2 linked regions of the Lytechinus pictus genome follow. Each later gene encodes a partner of the first gene's protein in a complex. Links are inferred from orthologs where the notes say so. Each region holds a gene or a part of one and is shown on either strand. Other genes may lie near its edges.

The links. Proteins that work in one complex are often made in the same cells at the same time.
Region 2: the proteins of NAD-dependent protein deacylase sirtuin-5A, mitochondrial-like (region 1) and peroxiredoxin-1-like are in contact, whole or in part, in a crystal structure (PDB 8Z54), measured with the Homo sapiens proteins. The link is inferred for Lytechinus pictus from reciprocal best matches to the Homo sapiens genes SIRT5 and PRDX1. Residues at the interface, in NP_001363727.1 of Homo sapiens: Ala86, Tyr102, Arg105, Gln140, Ile142, His158, Val220, Val221, Trp222, Phe223, Gly224, Glu225, Asn226, Leu227, Leu232, Val253, Val254, Tyr255, Pro256; in NP_001189360.1 of Homo sapiens: Phe195, Ser196, Lys197, Gln198.

Annotation. Positions count from the first base shown.
Region 1 is NC_087256.1:12,834,735-12,841,609, forward strand, and holds the start of NAD-dependent protein deacylase sirtuin-5A, mitochondrial-like, read right to left. Parts: upstream 3,022-6,875; 5' UTR 2,783-3,021; coding exon 2,477-2,782; intron 1,506-2,476; coding exon 1,398-1,505; intron 372-1,397; coding exon 254-371; intron 1-253. UniProt on the Homo sapiens protein: NAD-dependent lysine demalonylase, desuccinylase and deglutarylase that specifically removes malonyl, succinyl and glutaryl groups on target proteins.
Region 2 is NC_087255.1:28,701,248-28,708,851, forward strand, and holds the start of peroxiredoxin-1-like, read right to left. Parts: upstream 3,026-7,604; 5' UTR 2,815-3,025; intron 458-2,814; 5' UTR 432-457; coding exon 323-431; intron 1-322. UniProt on the Homo sapiens protein: Thiol-specific peroxidase that catalyzes the reduction of hydrogen peroxide and organic hydroperoxides to water and alcohols, respectively.

The sequences.
Region 1 (6,875 bases):
TTAAATCCATGTAAGGAATTCGTTCATACATTTACTCTTCTTTTTTAGGAATGAAAATATATAAAAGGAATATATTAGTTCACAACCGTCAGTTCAATAAAAACTCATAGCATATTAAAATAAATTATGAAAAAATAATATAGAAAAAAAAAATCAGAAGGAAATTAATTTTTTTTAAACTACAAAATAAAACCAGAAGAAAAGGAGTGATCAGAAGAACATAAGAATAATTTAACAGATAAAAAAATCTTACCATGCATCTCTATAACATTGGTTGAACCAGCTTGTCGATGAAGTTCATCTATATTTTGGGTGATGACTACTACTCTACGACCCTGCTTACTAAGCCGTTTCTCAAAATCTGCAATAGCCTGGGGGAAAATTGAAGGAAAAAATTAATTTCAGCAGATGTCATTTACTGAATGCTCACCAATTTATTTCAACATTTTTAATTGACAACAAAATATGATTATTGAGCAATATTGTTTTACTTTTTACCTGTGGCAATTACAACCAATGTCAAATGAAGCAGAGGGTGTGATTGATGTAGGTGCACATATTTAACCAGTTTCAAGATTGCAAGTCATTGAAAACAGTTGCAGATAATACATCATATCATAATCACATCAACACCCCTGTCCATTTCTTACATATAATCTCTATCATCAACCTGTATTTTAGCAATCTAATTATCAATCATCTCCCTCTCCTTTTAATCATCAATTCATCATCACCATCAACATCATTATTTCAATCATTGCATATGTGCATCACCATCACCATTAGCAGCACAATCATTATCATCATGGTATAAATTATAATATAACATCACAATCATAATGCATAACCACAACTGCCCTGCCACCAGTACACCCAAACTACCAACACCACTATCATCATGATCAATGTTATCTTCATTATCATCATATCACCACCACCATCATCACCATCGTCATCACTATCACCACCATCATCAATCATCATCATCAATATTACCATCCTCATAACTATCACCATCATTATCATTGATCATCGCTATCATCATCATCATAACCATCATCATCATCATCATAATCATCACCAACAATATCATCATTAACATCACTACCATCACTGTCATCACCATCATCATCACCATCATTATAACTATCACAATCATCTTCACTATCACATCATCATCATCATCAACATCAACAATATAACTATCACAATTATCGTCACTATCACCATCATCATCATCGTCCTCATCATCATCATCATCATCATCATTTTTCAGTGTATGTCTTTTCCACCACCTAAGTTACTCCCACTTCTTTCTTATCACAAATTCCAATAAACACCACGACTTCCTGATTAAATCAATCGTACTGATACCTCTCACCACTGTCCTTACTCACAATGTGGCCCTTGTTTGGATGTTTGGTAATCATCACTTCCCGTCTGTAATGGTAGAACTCCCAAACCAGAGAAGGGTTATCCTGAAATGCTTCTGGAGTGGCAAGTTGCTAGAATAAAAAGCAAATCATACATTTGCATCTATTCAAAATTAGGATACCACTCATCGCCCTTATAAAAAATGTTCATGAAAACATCAGTGTCACCAGAGTGGTAAAAGACTGGAATTCTTACTGGAATTCTTTGATTGCAGATTTACAAATACTTTTGTAAGTCCTCAAAAGTCTTTCACTAACCTATGAAAAGTCATCAATCCTGATCTCATAATACAGTTTGAGTAAAATAAATTGACATTTCACAAATCCTGAAAAAAATCATGTCATGAACACACAATTATTATATATGGCCTGAAAGAGTATGTTCTCCCAAATAATTTGATACCATACATATGTGGTTGGCCGTATGTCAGTGATGTGTAAAAGCTTGTATGATCAGGAGGTATTCCTGCAGTGGTGTTAAGTTTGATTTACGCCAAAGTAAGGCATGACTGCAATGAATGCAGCCAGATAATCATACACTGGTTGCACTAACATCCATTTCAAAACACCTTTTTGATAATTTGATTGAAAAGCGATTTGCGAATATGTTTACTAACTGTAACTCATGTCGGATATGACATCATTGGCATCTGGATTCATTCATTGCAGTCATGCCTTACTTTGGCAAAAGTCAAAATTTACATCACAGCAAAGAATAACTCCTGATCATCCAGGCATTAACACATAGTGACATACCACATAAATAAGATATTAAATTAATTGGGAGTTGATACTCTTTCCTTTTTCCAGCCATGTATAATGATTATGCATTTTCATGACATATTTTTTTCTTAGTGTGAGGTGTCAAGTTTTTTTTTACTCACATGGTATATCCAATGTCATGCAATGATTCTAATTTTTATAAATATTTCTTGAACTTTGAAGGTAGCAAAATAAACTTCAATCGACTTGTTAACATACCCGTTAAGAATATTGACTATAACTTAGTCATACTGACAGAACATTGCCGTCTATGCACATACCTGCGCTTGCCACTTCCGCCAGAACCCTCCCGCTCCTCGGAACGTTGGTACTCCACTCTCGGCACTGGCTCCAGCACCTGTCATAAATACGATGTGTTTTGCCTTTGAGATTTCTTCGCGAAGAGCTGCACTATCCGAGTTCCATCTTTGTTCTCCTGCTGCAGCCATCTTGAAGCTTTTTATTTCTTGCAGCGGATTTAGTAAATCTCTCAAGGCTCCAGAGACCGCACGAGGAATACAACTTCCTGAATATGATGCCCTTCTCGAGTGTGCTAAAACTAATGTTCCTCCTCGTAATAACCACATTCTGATGATAATAAATTTGGGGGAAATTCCCCGTGTGCCTAGTCTATTTCGACGTCTTCATATGATCATTTTAATTCCTTTCGACGACAGTATTATATAAAATGATATTTCATATGTTTTTATTCAATATCAAAAATATATATTGAAGTATTTTGAACAGATTTGTCGATTTTTGTTGTTGTTGTAATGAAAATAACAAGATCAACCTCTATTTTATTTGTATCAACTCTTGAAGAAGACTAACCAGGCGTGACACGAAAACAAACAAAAACAGAATCCACCATTATTTTGCACCGACGTATGAGGCGCCGAATGTACCAATATTATATAGAACAATTATTTGTTATATAATCATTATTTATTAAATAATAACTATTATTTATATATAATTTACATTTTATTTGTAAATAACTACTATTATATAAAATATCATTTCTAATTATTTATATATAATTCCAAGTAATACTTCATTATTTGTAAATAATAATAGTTCGACATTCCATTATTTATAAATAATGATTATTTGTTTTTCATTATTTATAAATAATGATTATTTGTTTTTCATTATTTATAAATAATGATTATTTGTTTTTCATTATTTACAAATAATGATTATTTGTTTTTTCATTATTTATAAATAATGATTATTTGTTTTTCATTATTTATAAATAATGATTATTTGTTTTTCATTATTTACAAATAATGATTATTTGTTTTTCATTATTTATAAATAATGATTATTTGTTTTTCATTATTTATAAATAATGATAATTGGTTTTTCATTATTTATAAATAATGATTATTTGTTTTTCATTATTTACAAATAATGATTATTTGTTTTTCATTATTTATAAATAATGATTATTTGTTTTTCATTATTTATAAATAATTTGTTGAGTTTTCCATTATTTATAAATAATGATTATTTGTTAAATAATGAAAACGTCTACTTCATTATTTATAAATAATTTTTTCGAGTGCACCATTATTCTCATTATTTATAAATAATCATTATTTAATGTTCGAGTTTTCCATTATTTATAAATAAAGATTATTTGTTAAATAATGAAATATCTACTTCATTATTTATAAATAATAATTTTGTTTCAATATCCCATTAATCATTATTTATAAACAATTTTTACAGTTTGCCATTATATACAAATAATCATTATTTATTAAATAATGCCATTATTTATTAAATAATGCCATTATTTATTAAATAATGGTTATTTGTATATAAATAATGATTATTTATAAATAATGGATATTGAAACAAAATTATTATTTATAAATAATGAAGTAGATATTTCATTATTTAACAAATAATCTTTATTTATAAATAATGGAAAACTCGAACATTAAATAATGATTATTTATAAATAATGAGAATAATGGTGCACTCGAAAAAATTATTTATAAATAATGAAGTAGACGTTTTCATTATTTAACAAATAATCATTATTTATAAATAATGGAAAACTCAACAAATTATTTATAAATAATGAAAAACAAATAATCATTATTTATAAATAATGAAAAACAAATAATCATTATTTATAAATAATGAAAAACCAATTATCATTATTTATAAATAATGAAAAACAAATAATCATTATTTATAAATAATGAAAAACAAATAATCATTATTTGTAAATAATGAAAAACAAATAATCATTATTTATAAATAATGAAAAACAAATAATCATTATTTATAAATAATGAAAAACAAATAATCATTATTTGTAAATAATGAAAAACAAATAATCATTATTTATAAATAATGAAAAACAAATAATCATTATTTATAAATAATGAAAAACAAATAATCATTATTTATAAATAATGAAAAACAAATAATCATTATTTATAAATAATGGAATGTCGAACTATTATTATTTACAAATAATGAAGTATTACTTGGAATTATATATAAATAATTAGAAATGATATTTTATATAATAGTAGTTATTTACAAATAAAATGTAAATTATATATAAATAATAGTTATTATTTAATAAATAATGATTATATAACAAATAATTGTTCTATATAATATTGGTACATTCGGCGCCTCATACCGACGTACCGGTATTTCATTTGAATCTGGTACAATAAATTCGTAGCCAATATCTGGAATGTAGTATTGCAAATGTTGCTTGTATCGTTCACTATACTCTACTGCTATCCGTCATGGCTTCATGAATGTGCAAAATATTAATCCTGAATAGTATTTTGTCGTGATAATGAAACTATTTTCTTCCTGATTCTTGACGACGCGCCCGTATCCTATCCGGCTACAGTGCAGTGCAGTACGTTGTCAATCGAGCTCGCAAGCGATTCCCCGGCCCGTCCAAGCAACCTCCGGTAAGTATTCAGCTTTATAAATATATTATAATCATGTATGATGGGGGGGGGGGGGGGCACCTAAAGCTACGCAGTTTGTTTACAAACGATATCAGAAAAACAATGCAAATTTTGATATTTTAACAAATTATCTTTCACTAATATTGTGGCAAAAATTCTATTTATAATATAAAGATCATTAACCAGGAAGAAGAAAAAGAATCACTATAACTAGTATAAGATTATGTAAATCCTGCCATGTTTTCTGAACTTGATTTCGCCACCTGATGTAGAACTACTAGAAGGGGTCCTAAAGCTACGCACTCGATTTATCATGCAAAAAATAGTATCTCATGTGTCTCAAAACTCTCAATTTTCTAAATATGTTCATATTGGTATAGGATTATATGAAATTAAAGCAAATATAACTCAAAAATTCCAAACAGTTGTGGGTTTTCTCTGCATTTTACTGCAGCCTCTGTAGAAAAAATTGAATAGGAATCGTTCATCACTCTGCAGTCACAGTCCAACACACAGAGTGCGTATTTGCCATTAAAAACTGCATTGCGCGATGAGTGGTGCATAGCTTTAGGGCCCCCTTCCATACATGTAAATTGTAATTGTTAATTGATGGCACTATAGCAGGCAGCAGCCCAGGAGAAAATAAAAGGTCTACAGGTGTATTGTTGTCGCACAATAATCATCAATATCATGGTAATGGTGCAGAATGAATCATTGACAGAATCATGCAACAAGTCTGAGAAAATGCAAGCTAATGATTACCCCTGTAGTTTTTGCCTTTGGCAACAAAAAAATAATTCAAAGAATAAATAAAAACTTTACCAAGGCTGCATGCAAGAGCTAAAAAGTTAGTAGTGTTGTTGCTGAATTTCCGATTGGCACTACTGTAATGAAAATTTGCAAATTTGTATTAATTATTTAAATGAATCCTGCCAAATCCGAGTATTGTTACTTGATTCAGATTCAATCAGAATATGCAGGAACTGTCTCCAAAAATCAAAGGGAATCCAATTTTTTTTATTTTGAAAAATTGTCTTGCTCTAGCATTATAGTCATTCATGCGATTTTACTCCGATGAGTGCATGTTGAAAAGCTTCAGTAGGTCCGTTCTTAAAGCTATTTTCAATTTTGCGGTACCAAACAGAGTTGTTCTGTGGTAAGCTTAGTATCACTGGGGTTTTGCAAGGACAGAAGTTTATGTGGCAGATTGGATTGGGGTGGGATGTCTTAATCCACTACTCTTTCCACAGGAGACAAAGATGGTGGTTTCAGAACGTAGATTGTACAGTTTAAGAAAAGGATGTACCTTAGATGTACATGTAAGTTATGTTATTGTAGATGTCATTGATAATTGGTATCATTATTATTATTATTATTTATTCGGCATAATCAAACACATAAACAACATATATACAAACAATAGGAATAGGAGAGTCACATGGATGCCGGGAAAGGAAAAAGATTAAATAACTATAACCCGAAGGTCTTCCTTTTCAGTATCAGTTATACTAATGAAACATTACTACACTATTAACAAAAAATACCATCATCAATAAGTTGAAGTAGATAGCGGTCAATGCACATTGTCTTTTATGCTGGTCAGAATTCTGTTATTTAGGGTAAAATACCACTACTAACAAGAAAAGTAGGCCTAATTTACCTGTAAATTTACAAACAGATTTCTTGAAATTGCCACAATTCTAGTTAATTTATTCTTGCTAAAGAT
Region 2 (7,604 bases), on another chromosome or scaffold:
CTTGCCTTGCCCTATGGCTCCATCTTGGTTCTGGTTTTCCCACATTGGGGAGATGGCAGAGTTTTGAGGGCTGTCTTTTTTTAATTTTAGGTAAGGTAACAACTAGAATTGGTTGTAGTTACCTCTGTAATAATCTGACAATTTGATGTCATTTAATTCACCATCAGAGCTGCCCTGCTTTTTTGTGCAAAATGAAAAGGGCACAACTCGATTAACTTTGGCAAATCGAATACCCAAATAACATTGCAGTAACTTCAAAACATGAATTGATATTGCGCAAAAAAAGGCTCTGACTCAAGAACTGGAATTAGTTGTTAATTACCTTTGTAATCTGATAATTTGATTTGGACAAAGTCACTATCCGGGCCTGCGCTGACTGCTGTACCCTCAAAGTAAGGAGCTGGTTCTTGTACACGTGCCTTACCTGCCATCTTTGATTTATATTACAGCTTCTTTCCTGTGAATGAGATTGAAAAAAAAGATTGAGATAGTCACTGTGTAAAGCCAATGAAACACAACAAAGTCAAGACATCGGGGTAAAATTTCGTTTAAGGGGCTATTTTTGTCATTTTGGGGATATTGCTAATTTTTTTTTTTTTGGGGGGGGGAATTTTTTCATTTGAAGGGCTATTTATTTATTTGCAACAAGAAATAATAATCTGCCAATATTATCATCCTCCCATACATGTATGTAAATTGTAGAATATTGACTTTCTAAATATTCTTGAATATTGCTTGATATGATTGTGGCAGATTTTTGGCGATGTCGTGAGATGCTGTGGACAAAAACTAAAGCAGGGAAAACTACCCTGCCACCTTGCCCACTTTGAAAATCTAAGTCTATCATTTATAAAGCTGCGACAAAGTACACCAAGTTTTTTTTTTTTAAGGTGAAATTCAGTAAGAATAATGGACAATTTGTACATGATGGCCAGTGTTTCCACAGATCCAAAATAAATTTCCCAAAATTCATAGACATTTCCTGGAATTTTTAAGTATGATTTCTAAAAAAAATTGGGCAATAATACAGCCAGCCTAAAGTTGGTCCATGTGACCCAAATCAAGGAATATAGCACATTTTTGTTCACGCCCTCTTTAAAAATAGGACCAAAATTACAATGGATGCTCCGCACGAAAACTTTTGAGCTAAGTATTGAGGTAAACAATTCTTTAAATATAACATGAATTTTAAAAGTTGCTACATTTAATTGTTGTTTAATTGTAATTTTCAGATTTCCCAGAATTTCCTGGAATTTTTTCATTTTCCAAACCTTTCCTGGAAAAAGTAAAAATTTCCCAAAATTTCGGGAAGAGTGGAAACACTGATGGCTATGGTATCGGGCCTATGGCTATGTATTTGGCATTTGGGAAGGGGCAAGATCTGAAAATGCATTACTCAACAGCAATGGCAATGGACAAGCACAAACAGTACATGTGATCCCCCCCCCCCCCCCAACTCTCCAAAAAAAAAAAATAATAAGCAAAATAAAAAACTACTTGTAAAAAAAACAACAAAAAAAGAGTTTTCTTTCCACAGACCACAGGTTTGGACCACGCGTCACAGATGCCAATTGCCTTTGTCTGCTTGTCTTAACGGTCTAGCGAGTTAAGTGAGAGTCTGGGGTACTGGTCTGTGGTGGTATTCAGAGATCAATTTTATCTCAGATAAAATAAAATATTTCATCTCCTTTAAAATCACTGAGATAAAATACATGTACCCTTAGAATATCTCTGAATTGGTCTGACAACCATTTCATCTTTATTTTACGTCTGTAAGACACACGGTCTATTTTTGAAGCAACATCCAATGAGATTGAAAAATACTGTTTTATACATCATACATGTAGCTCTCTCAGCTCATTCAACCAATAAAAATCCATTCCGCTAGGTGTGGCAAAGGAGCAAAATTGCATCAATGTATTGTATTTATTGAATTAAAAATGCACTTGCACTATACGCTTGCACATTTTTAGAGATTTCTTTTTTACAAATTTTTAGAAATTACAATATTCAGTGTTTTTTTCTTTGTCAATATCACGTCATTACAGCATCATTTCAGAAAAGTCACATGAAGAAATATTTACTTATTCTTCAGGAATAATGTTAAGGTATTATTCTCAGACTCAATGATAATGTTATTTTTCTTCATTATCATTTCATTTTAACATTTGGAGCTAATTCACCAAGAGCATCGCGGAGATAATAACCTCCACGGGTTACTTTATCTTTCTTTCAAGTTTCAGTTTCAATGTAACAACATGGGCCTGGGCCAAAGCATATCATCCGCATTGTAATGGTAAGATACACAATTCCTACACAGACACTGCTCTAATTAAAAAGGTCGCATATCAGATATGCAAGGAAAAAAATCATAAAATTCAAATTTGAGAAAAATGTCACTAAAATTACCAATTCACTGAATCATCAATCAATTTCTTTTTAAAATATAAAATATTTTTTAGAAGATAATATGATCTCAGAATACTACCCCTGGAAAAAAATCACATTCACAATGATTAAAATGCATAGGAACCCCATGAAATCTCCTATGCATCACACAAAAGAACATGAATTGGAACCAACAAAGAAAAATAATGCCCGATTGCACTTGAAACACGACAACCCGGCATTCACCCACGTGCAACACACATCTTATGCAAGCAAAAATTGAAATGACAGTCAACTTTTCGTTCACCCTCTCACAAATTTCGCGTTTTTTAATCAAAAGCCCAAGTCACCATCCATTCCTCATTTTTTTCTTCTAGAAGATTGAATTTTACCAACCGTTTAAACATAAGAAAGTAGAATACTCACGGTTTCAAAAGAAGAAATTTAAGACTGTTTCTACTCTCTTCGGCTCTGCCGCAGTGCTCGAATGAAGTCGAAGTGAATACTCGTGCTAAATATATACGCGGCGGGCAGCTAGCTGGCCTGGGCGAACGGCGCGTTGGGTGATATGGAAAGCTACGCGGGCGCTGGAGCGGGATGCCGAGCGCTTGGCCCAGCAATGCATGCACATTATTATGCCAGAGCGAGCACGTCCACAAAATTGCAGTATACCAGTAGATGGCGCTAGACTTCTCTCATTCATTGTTCAATAAAAGTTGATTGATTGACAAAATACAATAATGACAAATGAATATCAAGAAAGAAACCTTGAACAGAATTTAAGTTATTTCTATTAAACAATTATTTCAAAAAATAAATATACGAAAGTTTATTCAATGGGTTCGATTGATTGATTGATTCATTGTTGATGTTTTTTGTAGAAGTACATAGAGCGCATTTGGAAAGCAGATTTTTCTTATAATAAACATACGACTATAGTATGAAATGAATGAAAATTAATTAATATAAATAGACTGATGTATTTTATTTGTGAAGCCACAAATAACAATAGCGAAAGATTAGAAACCTCAAATACGTTTTAACGAATCCCTTAAAAATTATTTTCAATTCGGTTGATTGACTGCTTGATAAAGACGAAGCATAATTATAGAAGATGAAGATAATGAAAAAGAAGAAGAATTAGTAGCAGAAACACATAGAGAAGAAGAAGAAGAAGAAGAAAAAGGAAAAGGAAAAAGAGCAGGAGAAGAGAAGAAGAATGAGACGAAGAAATAAAATTGAATGAATAAATATCGGAAAAAAAATAGTTAAATAAAATGAATGAATAAATAAATACATAAATAAATGAATAAATAAATAAATAAATAAATAAATGAATAAATAAATAAATAATTGATTAATTAATTAATAACTCAAGAAGTACATTTAAAAAATAGGGAAGCGCTTAATAAATTAAAAAATATTTCACCAAATATTTAAAATTTCAGCAATAAAAATGCAAAAAATCCCTTTTGGTGAGCACGGTTGCTTTGCTCATTTGTTTTTTTTTAATGGCTTGACACAATATTTATTAAATGTCAGTCATCTGCATGGGAGACCACCTTTCCAGGGTTTATAGACCTACCCCTGGCTATAATGTCCCCTTGATCGTTTAGCCCGAGTGTTCACAACTTTCTCTTACCTGCTTGTCTGACTTCTCCTTTTCTCTACCGGTCATTTTCAAAGAAAATGAAAGTTGTTTCAAAGTAATTCATGATGATCACAGTGACTTGGTAGCAAGCAGGGCAGGATAACTTGATGGGCTTCATGTAGGGTCAATCCCCCGGACTCCCCGGACGGTATACTCGGATTTGTTTCGGACGCGAACGGTGCTGTATACTGAAGCCGTAAAACCAAACATAATTATGATTTAGGGCTTTTGGTTTAGTGATAGATTGATAGACAGGTTGATTGAGTGTTCGTTATTGATTGATAGATTGATTGATTGACTGACTGTTTGTTCTTTGAAAGTGGATGATAGACTGATTTATATTTGACAAACCTCAAGACATACTGAAAAATAAAAAGAATGACTGGCGTAAATCCAGTCCGAGCTGTGCATGGGGGGGGGGTGAAGCAATATATTGATCTGAAAATTCAAAAATTTTGGGACACCCCAACACCAAGGGCTATGTAGGCATGTATACGGGGGTATGGGACCATGAACATAATACTACCATCGACAGATCAAGAACGATTTTTTTTTAATGGCATATGTAATGATTTACAATTAATATCAATATGCGTGCCATCGAGTAGGCCTAATAGTTGGAGACAAAATATGATGTCCAAAAACATCTTTCAAGTGGTGTGAAATTATCACATCACGGAAAATGTATAAATTATGAAGAGCTCACTTGCAAAAGGGGTTAGGTCAATTTTTCATCAAATCTGATTTTTTGGTCTCAATGTATAGATTTTTAGTAGCTCTATAAGATGATACCAAAGAAAAGTTGAAATTCCTATTTGAAAGTGATCAAAAATGGCAAAGAAAAATCACTTTTTTTTCAAAAGGGGTTAGGTCCATTTTAGTTTAGTTGCAAAAGGGGTTAGGTCAACACCGATTTTTTTTTTGGAAAAGAATATATTAAAAAATATGAATAAAGGTAGATTTCTTTTATACCCAATTTTATGTTGTCATGGTAGGGAATCTTTAAAATTTAGTTTCGCATAAGAATATGCAATATAGGAGAATTAAAAAAAAATATTTTCTTGGAGTGGACCTAGCCCCTTTTGCAAACAAACTCTTCTGAAGAGCTCATTTGTCAAAAGGGGGTAGGTCCATTGTTCATAAATGCTATTGTTTTCTGTCTCAAACCTCTAAATTTTTAGTCGCTTTGATGAAAACAAAGACAATTTGAAATTTACATGAAAACATGAATAAAAGTGGCAAAGAAAAATCACCTTTTTAATCAAAATAGATTGGATTCATTTCAGTTTACTTGCAAAAGGGGTTAGGTCCACAATGATAATTTTTAAAAGAATATATAGAAAAAATTGAAGACAGGTAGATTTCTTTTATACCCAATTTTATGTTCACATGATAGTGAGGGTAGTATCATGACAATTTAGTTTCTCAAAAGAATATTGATTGATTGATTGATTGATTCTTTATTTCCATGCAAAAATAAATCATACAACAGAAAATATATTGACAATATCTCATGGTAAAATAACAATAAACAATCATTGCATGGGAGGGAACAGTCATAAGCACAAGGCTTGAAAAGGACGCCCCTCAAGAAAGACTACGGCCCTGAATAAAATCAATATAAGTCATATTTAAAAATTACAGTAAAAGCAGGGCCAAAAGGAAAACACATCAAGCATGTCAAGAATAAATCAAATGATAATAACACACCAGCCGTGTATCGATTAATATTACTATGTTTAACATAGATACGTCGTATAAAATAATACAAAAAATAAAGTATGCAATAAGATGAAAGTCATGAAACTGATGATAGAACAATATCTTAACTCAAATAAGTGCTAATAATGGAATGCTTAAACTCAAACTTAAATTTGTTCAATGTAGGAGCACCACGTATTGTTAAAGCTATATCATTCCAGGTATCTGGACCAGTATGTCTTATTGACCTATGGGCTAAGGCAGTTAGCGGATTTTATAAATGTAAATTTGTTGAGGTTCTCGTAGGATATTTATGAATAAACGAATTCAAAAGGAACATATGATCAAATGTTAATGGTAATTGGCGACAGTGAAACTTAAACATAAACAAAGCAATTTGAAATTTATGTATATCATCAATTTTAAAGTCTTGAAACGGTTAAAGAGGGGACCAGTATTTTCATAAAAACCAGCGTCGGCACACAAACGAATAGCTTTCTTTTGAAGTAAAAGGATATGGTGATTTTTTTATTTGAATGAGCCCCATACAATATTGCAATAAGTGATATGTGGAAGTAAAATAGAATTATAAATTGAGAGTAATGCTTGAGGAGGTAAATAGTGTTTAACTTTAAACATTATACCTATACATCTTGATACAGACGTCAATATTTTAGATACATGGTCATCACATGTTAAAAACTCATCTAGAATGACACCTAAAAATCTCACATTATTTTTTTGTCCGATAGAAATCCCACTTATCTTTATTTCTTCTGTATAATGATTAGCTATTGTTTTGGAGTTCTTGAAATCAATATAATATGTTTTTTTGCAAATTTAAAGACAATTTATTACTTTGGAACCATGTGGATATTTTGGGCAATTCATTATTCAACATTTCAAAAAGCATTCTTTTATTCGAGTTTGAAGAAATAACTGTTGTGTCATCAGCATACAGAATATATTGTAATAAGGGTGAAGAATATACTATGTCATTTATATACAGAAGAAATAAAAGCGGGCCCAGAATTGAGCCTTGAGGCACACCACAATTAATATACTGTGAATTAGAACTTACTGAATTTATACATGTAAATTGTTGCCTATTTGAAATATAACTATTAAACCAATTAAGAGTAGTACTTCTAACACCAAAATATTTTAATTTGTAAAGCAATATAGTATGATCCAGGGTATCGAACGCTTTACTTAAGTCCATGAAAACACAAATTACATGTTCCTTTTTTGCTAAAAGAGAAGAAATTTTATCATAAAGATCAACAAGAGCTAGATCAGCAGAATGAAATTTGCGAAAACCATATTGGGATGGATTTAATAAATTATGTAATGACAAAAATGAAACTAATCTATTGTAAACAAGACGTTCAAGTATTTTTGAAAATGACGAAAGAATAGAGATAGGGCGATAATTCTCAATGAGTGTCCGATCGTCCTTTTTATAAAACGGAATGATTTTCGCAATTTTCATATGAAGTGGACAAATTCCGGTTGACATTGAAATATTACATATATGAACAAAAGGAGTTATAATGCTTAATATAATCTTTTTAAGGAGAAAATTACTAATCTCGTCATGTCCAAAAGAACGACTGTTTTTAAGATTGTTTACGATTTTCAATATTTCCTCAGAATTTGTTGGATTAAAAACAATGTATGTTGACATGAATTGCGTAAATAATCTGCAAAATTAGTTGTGGTATGTGGTATTTTTAATGCTTGTTCCTGCCCAACATTAACAAAATAATCATTAAAACCGTTAACAATATCATCTAATGATTCATATACAAAATCACCATGTGAATATTTATGATTTAAATTAGCATCCTTTGCTTTCCCCAAT